Linked DNA regions of Ovis aries. The protein of the gene in region 2 binds, or shares a complex with, the protein of the main gene of each other region. Links are inferred from orthologs where the notes say so. Each region holds a gene or a part of one and is shown on either strand. Other genes may lie near its edges.

What was found. Proteins that work in one complex are often made in the same cells at the same time.
Region 1: the proteins of TUBB4B (region 2) and EFHB are in contact, whole or in part, in a cryo-EM structure (PDB 7UNG), measured with the Homo sapiens proteins. The link is inferred for Ovis aries from reciprocal best matches to the Homo sapiens genes TUBB4B and EFHB. Residues at the interface, in NP_006079.1 of Homo sapiens: Asp26, Glu27, Asp31, Pro32, Thr33, His37, Gly38, Asp39, Ser40, Leu42, Gln43, Thr55, Gly56, Gly57, Lys58, Ser78, Gly79, Pro80, Phe81, Gln83, Leu215, Lys216, Leu217, Thr219, Thr221, Asp224, His227, Pro243, Gln245, Phe270; in NP_653316.3 of Homo sapiens: Tyr523, Gly524, Val525, Gly526, Leu528, Ile529, His530, Asn531, Arg532, Tyr537, Arg539, Asp542, Arg545, Ala546, Ala549, Ala550, Arg552, His553, Lys556, Tyr608, Asn624, Phe625, Trp628, Asp630, Lys631, Thr686, Leu687, Leu688, Ser691, Asp692.
Region 3: the proteins of TUBB4B (region 2) and CFAP107 are in contact, whole or in part, in a cryo-EM structure (PDB 9CPB), measured with the Bos taurus proteins. The link is inferred for Ovis aries from reciprocal best matches to the Homo sapiens genes TUBB4B and CFAP107. Residues at the interface, in NP_001029835.1 of Bos taurus: Lys19, Glu22, Asp26, Tyr36, Asp39, Ser40, Asp41, Leu42, Gln43, Leu44, Glu45, Glu53, Gly56, Gly57, Tyr59, Pro80, Leu215, Leu217, Thr219, Thr221, Tyr222, Gly223, Asp224, His227, Leu228, Ala231, Gly244, Gln245, Phe270, Pro272; in NP_001033296.1 of Bos taurus: Thr74, Val75, Glu76, Gly77, Leu78, Tyr80, Lys81, Leu83, Ile84, Thr85, His86, His87, Gln88, Glu89, Gln92, Arg93, Tyr94, Leu95, Ile96, Ser97, Thr98, Asp101, His102, Pro133, Pro138, Thr139, Asn140, Tyr141, Leu143, Tyr144.

The regions. Positions count from the first base shown.
Region 1 is NC_056054.1:278,198,254-278,203,048, forward strand, and holds the start of EFHB (EF-hand domain-containing family member B), read right to left. Parts: upstream 2,898-4,795; 5' UTR 2,866-2,897; coding exon 1,972-2,865; intron 1-1,971. UniProt on the Homo sapiens protein: Microtubule inner protein (MIP) part of the dynein-decorated doublet microtubules (DMTs) in cilia axoneme, which is required for motile cilia beating.
Region 2 is NC_056056.1:702,729-707,380, forward strand, and holds TUBB4B (tubulin beta-4B chain), read right to left. Parts: upstream 2,915-4,652; 5' UTR 2,835-2,914; coding exon 2,778-2,834; intron 2,498-2,777; coding exon 2,389-2,497; intron 2,313-2,388; coding exon 2,202-2,312; intron 1,683-2,201; coding exon 622-1,682; 3' UTR 495-621; downstream 1-494. Other genes in the region: CIMIP2A (ciliary microtubule inner protein 2A), read left to right, coding at 1-40, 395-483. UniProt on the Homo sapiens protein: Tubulin is the major constituent of microtubules, a cylinder consisting of laterally associated linear protofilaments composed of alpha- and beta-tubulin heterodimers.
Region 3 is NC_056065.1:54,064,350-54,068,866, reverse strand, and holds the start of CFAP107 (cilia- and flagella-associated protein 107), read left to right. Parts: upstream 1-1,620; 5' UTR 1,621-1,841; coding exon 1,842-1,955; intron 1,956-4,517. UniProt on the Homo sapiens protein: Microtubule inner protein (MIP) part of the dynein-decorated doublet microtubules (DMTs) in cilia axoneme, which is required for motile cilia beating.

The sequences.
Region 1 (4,795 bases), on a different chromosome or scaffold from region 2:
GAGAAACTTCTGCAGAATCCCTGTGACCAGTTCAGCGAAACGGCATTCTCTGGTCTCCCCTTTATTCCCGGAACATTTTAAGGATGCTCCCTTTCTGGTCCTCAATACCACCTTCTTCAACTCACCTTTTCCTTCTATCCCACTCGCTCATCCAGCCCTCCTCCTATTTATCCAACATATATTTACTGAATGGCCACTATAAGCTGGGCATTGTGATATGCCATGAAGCTATGCGATAAATACGAGAAAATCCTTGTCCTCAAGAACTCGCATAGTTGGGACGTCTCTGGTGACTCAGTGGTTAAGACTCCACGCTTCCACTGGAGGAGGAGCAGGTTCGATCCCTAGTAGGGGAACTAAGATCCCACATACCACATGGCAAGGCCAAAATGTTTAAAAAATAAAAAAATAAAATAAAATAATTACCTAGCTGACATTCCTTTTTCTGACAGTCTCACATGTTCCCCAAGGTTCCTGCCCAGATCTGCTCGTCCCACCCCCACACACGGCTCCGGCTGTCTCCCTGGCTGTTTCCTCTGGCACCTGCAGACATCTCACACTCAGGACCACAAGCTCCAAGGGTTCCCCAGATACTCATGGGCCACCAAACAGGAAGATGTCTCATTATCAACGGAGAATATCCTAAGTTGTCCATCAACTTCCCTGCCTTTCACCACATAGATCCACAACCGGATGGCAATTCTTGACAATATCCTCTCCTAAAAGCTTCTCAGAATGGCTCTTTCCTATCCATTCTTTCTAACTCTGCATTAATTTCAGGCCATCATTAGCTTGAAATAGCCTAGCTATCCAATATCTTTCCCTTCCAGTCCACCATTATTATTGATAACATCTATATCTTTACAAAAAGCAAATTGTATGTATTTCCTCCCTCATGAAGACCCACCATTGCCCTCTACCCACAGGTTTTACTCCCGCATTGTGGACCTTTCGATTTCTTCCTCATCTCCTACCACTATGCTGGCTAAACAGAATTGCTTACACCTCCCAACTCAAAAGAAGTTTTGGCCATGCTGTATGCCGTTCTCGGCTCAAGGTGCCTCAATCCTATTTCCCATCTGACAAATACTGACACATTTTTTTAAGGACTCAGTTCAGGCACTCAGTCATGTCCAACTGTGACCCCATGGGCTGCAGCACGCCAGGCTTCCCTGTCCATCACCAACTCCCGGAGTTTACTCAGACTCATGTCCATTGAGTCAGTGATGCCATCCAACTATCTCATCCTTTGTAGTCACCTTCTCCTCCCGCCTTCTATCTTTCCCAGCATCAGGGTCTTTTCAAATGAGTCAGTTCTTTCCATCAGGTGGCCAAAGTATTGGAGTTTCAGCTTCAGCATCAGTCCCTCCAGTGAATATTCAGGACTGATTTCCTTTAGGATGGACTTGTCTGATCTCCTTACAGTCCGTGCAGGATCTTAATTCTCCAGCCTGGGATTGAACCCATGACTCCTGCACTGGAACTGCAATCTTAACCACTGGGCTGCGAAGGAAGTGCCCCGACACCTTTCTAAACAAGCTCAAGTACTACTGGCTCTGTAAAGACCTCCCATCTCCTCCAAACAAAACTGTCTGAATTTTCCATTGAGCTCCATGTTTACAGTGTACCTCTATTAAGGAAGAATCACATTTGTTTTCTACTCATATAGACATCTATATAATATTTGTTTAGTTATCGTCTTCAACATTGGAGTGACAACCTAAACCCATAGGGTAGGGACCACGCGCTTTTCAATTGTTAGTGCCCTGGACCCAGCATAATAGTCACAAGTCTTAACTGAAAGGACAAACAAGTCACAGAATAATGAATGGAAAAAGAAAAATGTTTCTGAAAAAACCTACATGAATACTAGGATACAACACGTACTTCAGAAAGGAGATTGAGAAGACGCAGACTGAGGGATGGAATGTAAGTCAAAACAGAAGGGGGAAAGTGTTAGGAAAAACTTACACTTGGCCAGCAAGGCATCCGATCAACAAATTTCCCGGAGTATATGGGTCTGATGGGGTCTGGAGGCTCTACTCCCGGCTGAGTGTTCTCAGCCGCCCTTTGCTCCTCAGGTTGTTGGGCCAGCTGGCACTCAGAAGGTTCTATCACCAAGCCCATCTGGGGCTCCTCTGGGTGGGTGAGCCCCATATCCACCTCCACAGGAGGCGCCGTCTCTGCGCTGGGCTTCATCACCACACAGGCGGACTCTCCTCCCAGTGCCCCTCTACGCTCCATCCCCAAAGCAGGTAGCTTGCCCACTGGCACCACGAACCCTTCCGGGTCACCAGTCACAGGACATCTCCTGCCCCCTGAAGCCTGTGGACTTCCACACGTCTGGCCCAGTGGAGGCTGTGTTACCCTTTCTGGACAATACCCTGCCAGAAAACGCTCCTTTTCTAAACCCACTCTTCCAGGCAACGCACTTAGAGGAAGTTTTGTTTCCTGTGAGGCTGAGACCCCGTGGACTCCTAAATTACTCCCATCCACGAAGGTCCTAGAAATATTCTGTCTTTTCAACCTCAGTTCAAGCCCCTTGCGCGATGGAGATCTTATTTCTGGTGATGCCATCCTCTCCTCATATGCCTTACTACATGGGAAATCTTCTCCTAAGCCCACTCTGAGCCCCAGCTCCGTGGGAGATGTTCCCATGAAGACTCTCCTCTCTTGTAAGTCATCCTTTCCTTCCGGGCCGAGTCCCACCTCCATGCTCAGGGGAGATTTGCTCCCAGCCACCGTCATTCCTGGTCCAAGGGCACTCTTCTCTGAGGGGTAAGCTGTACCGGGCTGGAGGGGAGCTCCTAACCCCTTGGAGGGCCCCAACCCTTTGGGGGACGGCACTCTCAGAAAAGAGCACATCTCCACCCCGAGTCCCTGCCCTTTCAACACCTAGCGGGGTTCGCAGGGAAGAGGAGACAAGGTCTGTTTACCCGGTTACCTGGGAAACGGGGGGCGGGGCTTGGAGTGCCGCTCTGTGCACGAGCCACGCCCATCTCTTCCCTCCTCTTTCTCCCCCATCTCTCCTCTTTCTTACTCCCTTATCCTGGCCTCCTCTCTTACCCTCTCCTTCCACCCCTCTTTAGTCGACTGAAAGGCAAGAAAATTACTTGAAATATGTGGTTCTGGGCTCTAGAGCAGATGATGCCCAACATCTCACAAGGCGGTCCCCTCAGGGTGGGTTCAGCCAGGGGTCTCCTCCCCGCTGCGGGCCTGTTGACTTCACTGGTGTTCAAGGAATTAATAGCCCTCTCTGGTGGTGAGCACCAGTTTCGCGTCCTGGCTTGTGAAAGCACCTGCAAACTGCATGTAGTTCTCTCAGTGCTTAAGAACTCCTTTAAAAAAAAATCCGTGAAGTTGTGTTTGGCAGCTGTGGTAAGGACCATCTTAAAAGTGTGACTTACACTTCAATACGGAGAAGGCAGTGGCACCCCACTCCAGTACTCTTGCCTGGAAAATCCCATGGATGGAGAAGCCTGGTAGGCTGCAGTCTGTGCTAAGTGTCGGACACGACTGAGCGACTTCCCTTTCACTTTTCACTTTCACGCACTGGAGAAGGAAATGGCAGCCCACTCCAGTGTTCTTGCCTGGAGAATCCCAGGGACGGGGGAGCCCGGTGGGCTGCCGTCTATGGGGTCGCACAGAGTCGGACACGACTGAAGTGACTTAGCAGCAGCACACTTCAATAACTATACTTTAAAGAGCATTTCAAGTAAATATATTGAAGCTTGGACTGAGTTCTGCAATAATGCATGATGAAGTTTTGATTTATTTAGGATCGTTGGCTGCACGGCTCCGTTGTGCGCAGCGCGTCTCCAGGTGCCGTGAGCGGGGTCTACTCTCCCGTGGCGATGCGAGGGCTTCTCACCGGGAGCGCTTCTCTTGTCGCAGAGCGCAGGCTCCAGGGCTCAGTAGCTGTGGCTCAGGCTTAGCCTCCCAGAGGCATGTAGGACCTTCCCGGACCAGGCGTGAAACCTGGTGTCATCTGCGATGGCAGATGGGCTCCCAGCCACTGGACCACCAGAGAAGCCGGGAATATTGGATTTTAAAATAATGTGGCAAACTCAAACTTACATACGGGATTTTCTTTAAATTCTTTTAAGTTTTGATGAATATGTATTTGAATATTTGTCATGTTCTACAGATACTAGGGGCTTCTACATATACATCACTACATATACTGGTAGCTCTGCTGGTAAGAATCTGCCCACAATTCAAGAGTCCTGGGTTCGATCCTTGGGTCAGTATTCTTGCCTAGGAAATCCCAGGGACAGAGGAGCCCGGTGTGCTACAGTCCACCGGGTCCCAAAGGAGTCGAACACGACTTTTCAACTAAACAACCACAATAAGGGATAGATAACCATCGAGTAAACCAGTGAATAAAGTCATTTCACAAGATGAGTGAAGAGTGTTATGAAGAAAATGGAACACTGTGATATGGAGGGAAGCCCCTCTAGAATCAGCAGGCTCAGCAGTCCCTTTGGCGGGCAGCACTGAGCTGAGGCTGCAGGATGCCCTACAGACACTCGAGCTTTTGAAACCTGGCCGGCTCAGGTTCCCGCTTTTTCTCACTGCCTTGCCCCCAGGGCTGCAATTCCTTCTGTCAGAACTACCTTTCGTTTTTTCTCCAGACTGTCCCAGTTCAAAGCAAACGTTACCATTTATCACTATCTGTGCAAAGAGTCATTCTTCAGCTACACAGTCAAGGGAAGACAGATTTCCTGGAGGAGAAGGAAGAAGACATGGAGTGTTGCGGGTGGTTGAGAGATGCAAGGTACTGGGAATTCCCCAG
Region 2 (4,652 bases):
AGCCAGGGCCTGATCCCTTTCTACATGGGCTTCATACCATGTGAGTGCGGGGGGGCCCCTCCTGGAAGAGGTCGTGGCGACAGGCCACTGAGGGGCGGGGCCAGGGGCTGGGCCCTCTTAGCCAGGCCTAACCTCAGGCAAGGTTCCCCTGGGACAGGATAACCCAAAATTCCCTCAGTGCCTCCGCTTCCCCAGTGCGGAAGGGGCTCACTGACAACCCTGACTAAAAGCCAAAAGGCCAAGTGCCTGCAGACCACACGCTGGCCTCCTGGGGGTTTCCTGTGCACAGGCTGGGCCCACCTCTGGGAGGCAGCCCCCGGCCCCCGCAGCAGCCCTGCGCGCTCCCCATGCGCGCAGTGAGCCCAGGGGCTCAGCGGCAGCATCCCCCTCGCAGCCATGCAGGACAACTACGCACTGACCTTCGCCAACAGCACCCGCAGGGCCTATCGGAAGGAACTGGAGAGGCGTGGCCAGACACTATGAAAACGCTTTAATGGTGGTGGCTGTACAGCACGCGATGTCGAGACAGGAAAGAACACACACACAGTGAGACAGACTATCAGAGCGGGCTGTGAGTGAATAAAGAGTTCCCACGGCCTCAGCCTTCTGGCTCCGGCCGCTCTAGGCCACCTCCTCCTCCGCCTCCTCCTCGAACTCGCCCTCCTCCTCAGCCGTGGCGTCCTGGTACTGCTGGTACTCAGACACCAGGTCGTTCATGTTGCTCTCGGCCTCAGTGAACTCCATCTCGTCCATGCCCTCGCCCGTGTACCAGTGCAGGAAGGCCTTGCGCCGGAACATGGCCGTGAACTGCTCCGAGATGCGCTTGAACAGCTCCTGGATGGCCGTGCTGTTGCCAATGAAGGTGGCCGACATCTTCAGGCCGCGCGGCGGGATGTCGCACACGGCCGTCTTCACGTTGTTGGGGATCCACTCCACGAAGTAGCTGCTGTTCTTGTTCTGCACGTTGAGCATCTGCTCGTCCACCTCCTTCATGGACATGCGGCCCCGGAAGACAGCGGCCACGGTCAGGTAGCGGCCGTGGCGCGGGTCGCAGGCGGCCATCATGTTCTTGGCGTCGAACATCTGCTGGGTGAGCTCGGGCACCGTCAGTGCCCGGTACTGCTGGCTGCCCCGGCTTGTTAGCGGGGCAAAGCCGGGCATGAAGAAGTGCAGGCGGGGGAAGGGCACCATGTTGACGGCCAGCTTGCGCAGGTCGGCGTTGAGCTGGCCCGGGAAGCGCAGGCAGGTGGTGACCCCGCTCATGGTGGCCGACACCAGGTGGTTCAGGTCCCCGTAGGTGGGGGTGGTCAGCTTCAGCGTGCGGAAGCAGATGTCGTACAGCGCCTCGTTGTCGATGCAGTAGGTCTCGTCCGTGTTCTCCACCAGCTGGTGCACGGACAGGGTGGCGTTGTAGGGCTCCACGACGGTGTCCGACACTTTGGGCGAGGGCACCACGCTGAAGGTGTTCATGATCCTATCTGGATACTCCTCCCGAATCTTGCTGATGAGGAGGGTGCCCATCCCAGACCCAGTCCCCCCACCCAAGGAGTGGGTCAGCTGGAAGCCCTGCAGGCAGTCACAGCTCTCCGCCTCCTTCCTCACGACATCCAGCACCGAGTCGACGAGCTCCGCCCCTTCCGTGTAGTGTCCCTTGGCCCAGTTGTTCCCGGCACCGCTCTGACCTGCAAGAGAGGGCAGCCGGTTGCTACTCAGCCAGGCGTGTGCTCACCACTGATCACTCGTGCCAAAAAGGCCAAACGACACACCGTGTGGATGACGCACAACCCCACCCCGCGGGTGTAGCAGACAGGCCCCCAGACGGATACGGTAGCGACGTACCCGAGGAAACCCGCTAACACGGTTCAACAACAAACCAGCCCCTCCCACGGGCAGCCTCTGCCAACTCCCAAGAGCAGACGAGCTGCCACTGCCTCCAGCTCAGCCTTCCCGGCAGGGAGATTACATCTGCCTGCTCCTTCCCGGCAGGCAGACAGCTGGGCCTTCTCGGCAAAGCCGCTTTAGGTGAGGGGATTGACTAACTCTTGAGAGGAGGAGGGCGTCCTGGAACCCAGCTTCTACTGAGGATACAGAGTGGATCAGAACTTCGGCTCTGCGAGTCCTGAAGATGGCGACACTGGGCACCCCCTGACCTTTGCGCCGTCCTGTCTATCGGCCGCCACCCACCCCGATCCGCGGCTCACCGAAGACAAAGTTGTCCGGCCTGAAGATCTGCCCGAAAGGCCCCGAGCGCACAGAGTCCATGGTGCCCGGCTCCAGGTCCACGAGCACAGCGCGGGGCACATACTTGCCACCTGGGGGGCGGGAGGGCGTCAGCGAGGGGAGGGCCGCGGGGCGGCACGGGGGTGGGGAAGGGGCGCGGGGCCTCACCGGTGGCCTCGTTGTAGTACACGTTGATTCGCTCCAGCTGCAGGTCGCTGTCCCCGTGGTAGGTGCCGGTGGGGTCGATGCCATGCTCGTCGCTGATCACCTCCCAAAACTACGGGAGACGCGGGCGGGCCGGTCCAGGGCTGAGTCACGCCGGAGGTGCCCGGAGCCGACCCCGCCCCGGACGGCGCGGCGCGGCGCGGCCCGGCCTTCCCTTCCCCCGCCGCCCGGCCGTCCCCACAGACCCCAGCCGCTGCCCGCCGCCCTGACCCCGGTTGCGGCGCCGCGAGGGGCCGCAATGCGGGGGCGCCGCCCGCCGGATGCCGCCATCTTTCCCGCCGCCAGCCCGCCCCGCCCGGAGGACCCGCGCCGGCCCAGACGTCCCCGCTCACCTTGGCGCCGATCTGGTTGCCGCACTGGCCGGCCTGCAGGTGCACGATCTCCCTCATGGCGGCGGCGGCGGCTGCAGCGGGGGCGGCTGCGGAGGAAAGAGCCGAACGAATGCCGAAATGCGGGCGCGCAGAGTGCTACAACCGACGCTGCGCCGGCGCTTATATACCCGCCGCGCCCGCCCCCGCCAGCCTCTTACTGGGCGTCCAGAGCGAGGCTGGCAGGCGGCTTCGTTTGATTGGCTGTAACCCCGTCAATCGGGCTGCCCAAGGCCCGCCTTCGCGGCGCCGCTCGCTCTTTATTGGTCCGTCGCGGCCTCTGCACTCCCTATCCAAGTTCCCCCCCTCGCTCTGCGGTCTTCTGACCATTGGCTGTTTCAAATGATTGATTTGTGCTCCCATTGGCTGGCTCCTCAGAGCACGCCGACAGCCTTCCGCTATTGGCTGGCGGGGCCGGCGTCCTGGTAACCGCCGCAGTGCCGCGGGGACCGGCGCGGGCGGGGCGCGGGCGCGGGCGCGGGCGCGGGCTCGGGCGGGGCGCTGCGGGGGCCGGCCGAGCCCCGGGCAGGCGGGCGGGGCGCGCCCCGTGGCCCTCGCGCGGGCCCAGGCCTCGCTGTGCGCCTTTTAGAGGGCGGCCAGGCTCATCTTGCGGAGTCTTGGAGCGGAGGAGGGGCTCGGCGCCGTTCACACGGACTCCCTCGGGGATCGGGGGCCGAGGGGCGGCGGCGCCTGGCCCGCCCCCTGAGCTTTGGAGGCCGCCTGCCCCCTTCCTCGGTCCTCAGGCCCGCACGGGTCGTGGGCAGGTGGGCGAGCGCGTGGGGCCGCGGCGCCCGGCTGCAGAGAGGTGGGCGCGGGGCGGGCGGAGCAGGACGGGGCCCTGCCCGGCAGCGGCTTGCGGCTTGTTGTGGAGACCGCGCTGGCCTGGCGCCTGTTGCCTTGGTGCCTTGGCCCCAGGAGCTCACAGACCCGCGTGGAGACACGAGGGCCGCGCCCAGGTCTCTGGGCAACCACAGATAGGTACACCTGGCTGAACAAATGCTTGTACTTTTCCTTGAATTTTGTTTGGAGGGGAAAAAAAAAAAAAACTTATTAAAAAAAAAAACAGTTAACTTGCATGTAGTCACACTTTTAATCAATCATTTCAAAAACAGTACGCTTGCGTTATGTTTTCGTAATGTTCGCCATGGACAGTCTCTCTCGCTGTGGCCACGGGTCCTCTCTCGATTCTGGTTTTCTCAGTGAGGTTCTTACCCTCGTTTGCTCTCCAGCCCATGGATGTTGTGGGCAACCCCTGGTCATTTCTACCTAGAGAGATTGTGCTTGCTCTTCACCGTGTACTTCATGACAGCGCCGTTTCCTGGCGTGCTGCAGCATTAGGGCACTTCACGGTACACTTAATCTGGGGGTGAAACGGTTGGTAGATAGCACGCTGGCATAGGGATGAGTCTTTCCATACCCTGAGAGTGGTCTGCAGCTGCAGTCCTGAGCCTGACCTGAAGCGTGAGTCAGCATGTCAAAGTAATAGTTCCTGAAGAGCTTAGGGGACCAGCCCCTTCCCCTGCACTAGTCCAGGAAGGTGGGCCCGGCTGGTGCTGGCCACAGGCAGTGGCTTGTCGTGTGTGCAGGGTCCCTGCCTGGCATCTAGCTCTGCAAAGTAGCTTAGCTGCCCAAGCAGGCCTGCGAGGCCCTGCACTGCAGCAGGGAGGCTGCACCGAGTCGTCACGGATCAGCGAGAAAGGGAAAAACTCAGACTTTGCTCCAAGCGAGCCAGTGAGCTGGGGCACTTTGAAATGTTTGTCAGAGCCTGCCCTCCTCGCCCCCCACCCTGGGCTGAGACCCCCACTGGCAGAAGTCTCTGCTTCCTGTGACCAGTGCCCG
Region 3 (4,517 bases), on a different chromosome or scaffold from region 2:
ACCACAGATGGTGACTGCAGCCATGAAATTAAAAGACACTTGCTCCTTGGAAGAAAAGCTATGACCAACCTAGACAGCATATTAAAAAGCAGAGACATTACTTTGCCAACAAAGGTCTATCTAGTCAAAGCTATGGTTTTTCCAGTAGTCATGTATGGATGTGAGAGTTGGACTATAAAGAAAGTTGAATGCCAAAGAATTGATGCTTTTGAACTGTGCTATTGGAGAAGACTCTTGAGAGTCCCTTGGACTGCAAGGAGATCCAAACTAGTCAATCTTCAAGGAAATCAGTCCTGAATATTCACTGGAAGGACTGATGCTGAAGCTGAAACTTTGGCCACCTGATGCGAAGAACTGACTCATTTGAAAAGACCCTGATGCTGGGAAAGATTGAAGGCAGGACGAGAAGAGGATGGAAGAGGATGAGATGGTTGGATGGCATCACTGACTCAATGGACATGAGTTTGAGCAAGCTCTGGGAATTGGTGATGAACAGGGAAGCCTGGTGTACTGCAGTCCATGGGGGTGCAAAGAGTTGGACATGACTGAGAGGCTGAACAGAACTGAAAATAAGACTACAGTGTGGTGCTTCTTTAAAGTGAAGCCACTTAGTTGTGTCTGACTCTTTGTGACCCCATGGACTGTAGGCTACCAGACTCCTCCATCCATGGGATTTTCCAGGCAAGAGTGCTGAAGTGGGCTGCCATTTCCTTCTCCAGGGGATCTTCCCAACCCAGGTATCGAACCCGGGTCTCCTGCATTGCAGACAGATGCTTTACCATCTGAGCCACCAGGGAAGCCTACTGATTCTTTAACTTAACCATACATTGCAAGGCATCTTCCTGTGTCAGCATTTTTTAACAGCTACAAGGTATTTCATCATATGATATGCCACAGTTTGTTGAGCCAGCCCTCCATTGGTAGATATCTAGATGGTTGGTTCTTGATTTTTTGGCTTAATGAATAAGCAAAGTCATTGTCTTTATCCCATTGGACTGAGCTCTGTTGGGAAGGAGCCCTGGTCTAGCCACTGATGCATTGTACTAATAATTCCAGGTCAGTGCTCTGAATGTAGCATATGCTTGATAGAATGACTGTGGAATGAATGAATGAAGATGACCTGAATGAATCATATTTATTAGCATTCTTCCTGGAAGCCCCTTAGGCAAAGGGGCAGACAGGCATTGAGTAGAGCCCAGTGGTAAAAGAACTGAATCAGAGTGGATTTAAATCTCAGATCTCCACATGTGTGACTTGAGGTAGCTACTTAGTCCCTCTTTACTTCAGTGCCCTCATCCATAAAATGGGTACAGTTATGGCACCTGCTTCATAGGACTCTTTGAGGGTTAAACAAGTGAGTACATGTAAAGGTCTCAGCATGGGCCTAGCACGTCAGCGTTCATTAAATGGTAGAATGTGATCATCTCAGCTCATCTAGGTATAAAAATGCAACATGCATGATACCTCTTGGTAACCAGGAAGTTACATGACATGGAAACCAGGTCCTTCTGGCTCCTGCTTTTGTGGTGACTGCTGTTGGTTTGATTTGCCTTTTTAACATCAATTTTGCTTCTGAGGAATCAGCTGCCCCCTTAAGGAGAGTATTTATACTCACAGTCTATCACCATGGAGATTGTCAACAGTAGGGAATCCAAGATCACATCACCTCTTTCTGGAGGCTGAAAGTGGACTCTCAGGGCCCTTTAATCCTGCAAATTTAGCTGGGTGTCATCTACATTCTGACTGCTAAAAAGAAAAAAAGGCACCCCAAACTCAGCAGCTTCATAACATCTCCCACCCCGAAAACTTAAACTGTGTCAAGGCAAAGAAGCTTGGGACAAATGCAGTTTCTTACTGCCGTAAGTCCACAGTCATCCTCCACGCCAAGTTGGAAGATTGAGACCAAGTATTCAACAAGAGTGCTCACTGGAAACTGGACAGAAGAGAGGAGGAAGGTAAGAAAAAAGAAGGTGGACAGAGGGCTCAGAAGGAGACCTGGCAGGGAGGATGAGTGAAGGCATTGTGTGCGTATGTGCTCAGTCACTCAGTCATGTCCAACTCTCTGCCACCCCACGAACTGTAGCTCGCCAGGTTCCTTTGTCCATGGAATTTTCCAGGTAAGAATCGAGCGGGTTGCCATTTCCTACTCCAAGGGATCTTCCCGATTCAGAGATTGATCCCTTGTCTCCTGCATTAGCAGGCAGAGTCTTTACCACTGTACCACCCGAGGGTATTATTATTTCTAAATCAAGGGCCACAAATACTTAGATCTTAAGAAGGTAGCATTAGGAACTCTGTGCAGAGAGACTCCCTAACACAGAGGAGTTACATTCAAGCAGTCGTCAAAGTCCCCATTTATATCTTGAAAACATCATAGTACAGGTGTCAATAAGGTTGTGCCTTGAAGTTCTATAGTCAGTGGAGTGTTTCTAGGCATCCAATGTTCTTTGTTCCTAATTCAGCCGCATCTTGATTTGAAGAACATCTGCTCTCCCTGGGTTGGTCCTTCCAGATGTATTACCTGCCAAGGCAGGCTTGACACTCCTTGTCTTGATGTCCAGGGATGAACTTCTGCTCTCTGGCACCTGTTCCACAACTTTGCCCTGCCTGTGCATTTCACATTTCACTTTCAAACCAGAACAGGTGTGCTCTTGGTGTTCCTATGTATCTTAAAGACCATCTCAAAATACTTTGCCTAAATTGACCTGCATAAAATTGTGTATCTTCATTTGTGGCAATCAAGACTGGCCCACCTAAGTTTCTGCAGACATCTAGATATCTTCATATCTTCTTGGAAAATAGTCAAGGGAAAGAGGGTGAGACAGAATTGTCAGGTTTGCTGTAAGTGTGGGAAAGGTTAATAGTGACTTCTGAGAACTAGAAAAGGCTCTTTTCATGTGGGAACTTTAGCATTTGTCACTCTTCTGGTCAGACATGGCTTTTGGCCATTTTTAGCTCTGACTGCACTTGTCTTTGTCTGTGGAGTAAGTGTGTGTGTGTGTGTAATCCAAGAGCAAGAAAGACTGGTTAAGCAATCCCATTGAGCTCCTGTATGCAGAGCAGTACCCGGGGAGATTATGGGCTGATCCTACACTGACTGAGAGGAGATTGCATAAAGAAAGCAGAGTTGGAGCAATTTCAGAAAGATGGCACACTAAGAAGTTCCAGGTCCCTTCTTTTCCCATGGAAACACTTAAAAAGCAACTATTAGCCTAATTGAAAGAAATATATGGGAGCTCTGGAAAACAAAGGTCTATAGCAAAAAAAATCAAATGCCCATTTTAGAAAAAGTCACATTCAAAATGGTAGGAAACTCCATGGTGTTTTTACCTGCCCTCCCCTCATTCCTGCCCGAGCACAGCACGGGGCAGCGTGGGAGAAGCACCAGTTCCCAGCTCCCAGTTCCCTCCCTGGAACACAGAGGGAGTGGAGCAACACTGTAACTTGTCTGGAGGCTGCCGGAGGGATTGGTCTCTGTTTTGCTAACTCAGAGCTCAAACAGGAAAAAGTGGGTAGTTCATATTTCAGGCTAGGAAGAGCTTGGAAAGCAGCAGTGGTCAACAGTTAGTGAAAGCTGACAGGGGACTACAAACTTGCAAAGGTCTGGGGATAAGAAATTATGGGTAGAGAAATGCAACAGAACATCTAAGACTCTGAAAAGAAACCAGAGAGAGGCTTCTTGGAAAAATAAAGGAATTTTAAAGCAGCTGTGTATACAAGGAGAAATAAAAAGCACAGATACACACAGACACAGAGTCATAGGCAGGATGCATGCTCATGTTCAGAAAAGTTGGAAGAATAATTAAAACCTTTATATCTGACTGACTCCAAGACTCAGAACATGCCCACTACTTAGTAGAGATCTTTCCTTGTGTGGAGCCAGTCTGCAAAGACCAGGAGAGATGGCTGTTTTTCTCTCAAGTGCTCAAAAAACAAACAAACAAACATAAGACTTAAAAAGAAACAAGAAAATATGGTCCACTCGAAAAAAATTAAGTGGCAGAAACAGTCCCTGAAGAAACACAGGCAGCAGTAGTACCAGAGAAAAACTAAAAAATAAAACAACAACAACAAAAACTTGTCTTAAATATACTTAAAAAGCTAAAAGGAAATGTGGACAAAGAATTGAAGGAAATCAGGAAAATAATATATAAGCAAAATGAGAATATTAATGAAAGATAGAAATTCTAAAAAGGAATCAAACAGAAATGTGTGTGTGTATACTCAGTCGTGTCTGACTCTTTGTGACCTCATAGATTGTAACCCACCAGGCTCCTCTGTCCATGGAATTCTCCAGGCAAGAATACTGGAGTGGGTTGCCATTTCCTCTACCAGGGGATATTCCTGACCCAGGGATCAAAGCCATGTCTCCTGCATATGCAGGCAGATTCTTTATCCCTGAGCCACCTGGGAAGCCCAAATAAAAAAATGGAATTGAAATATACAGTAACATTTATGAAAAAAATTCACTAGAGACATTCAAAAGTGGGTTTGAACAGACAGTAGTAAGAATCAGA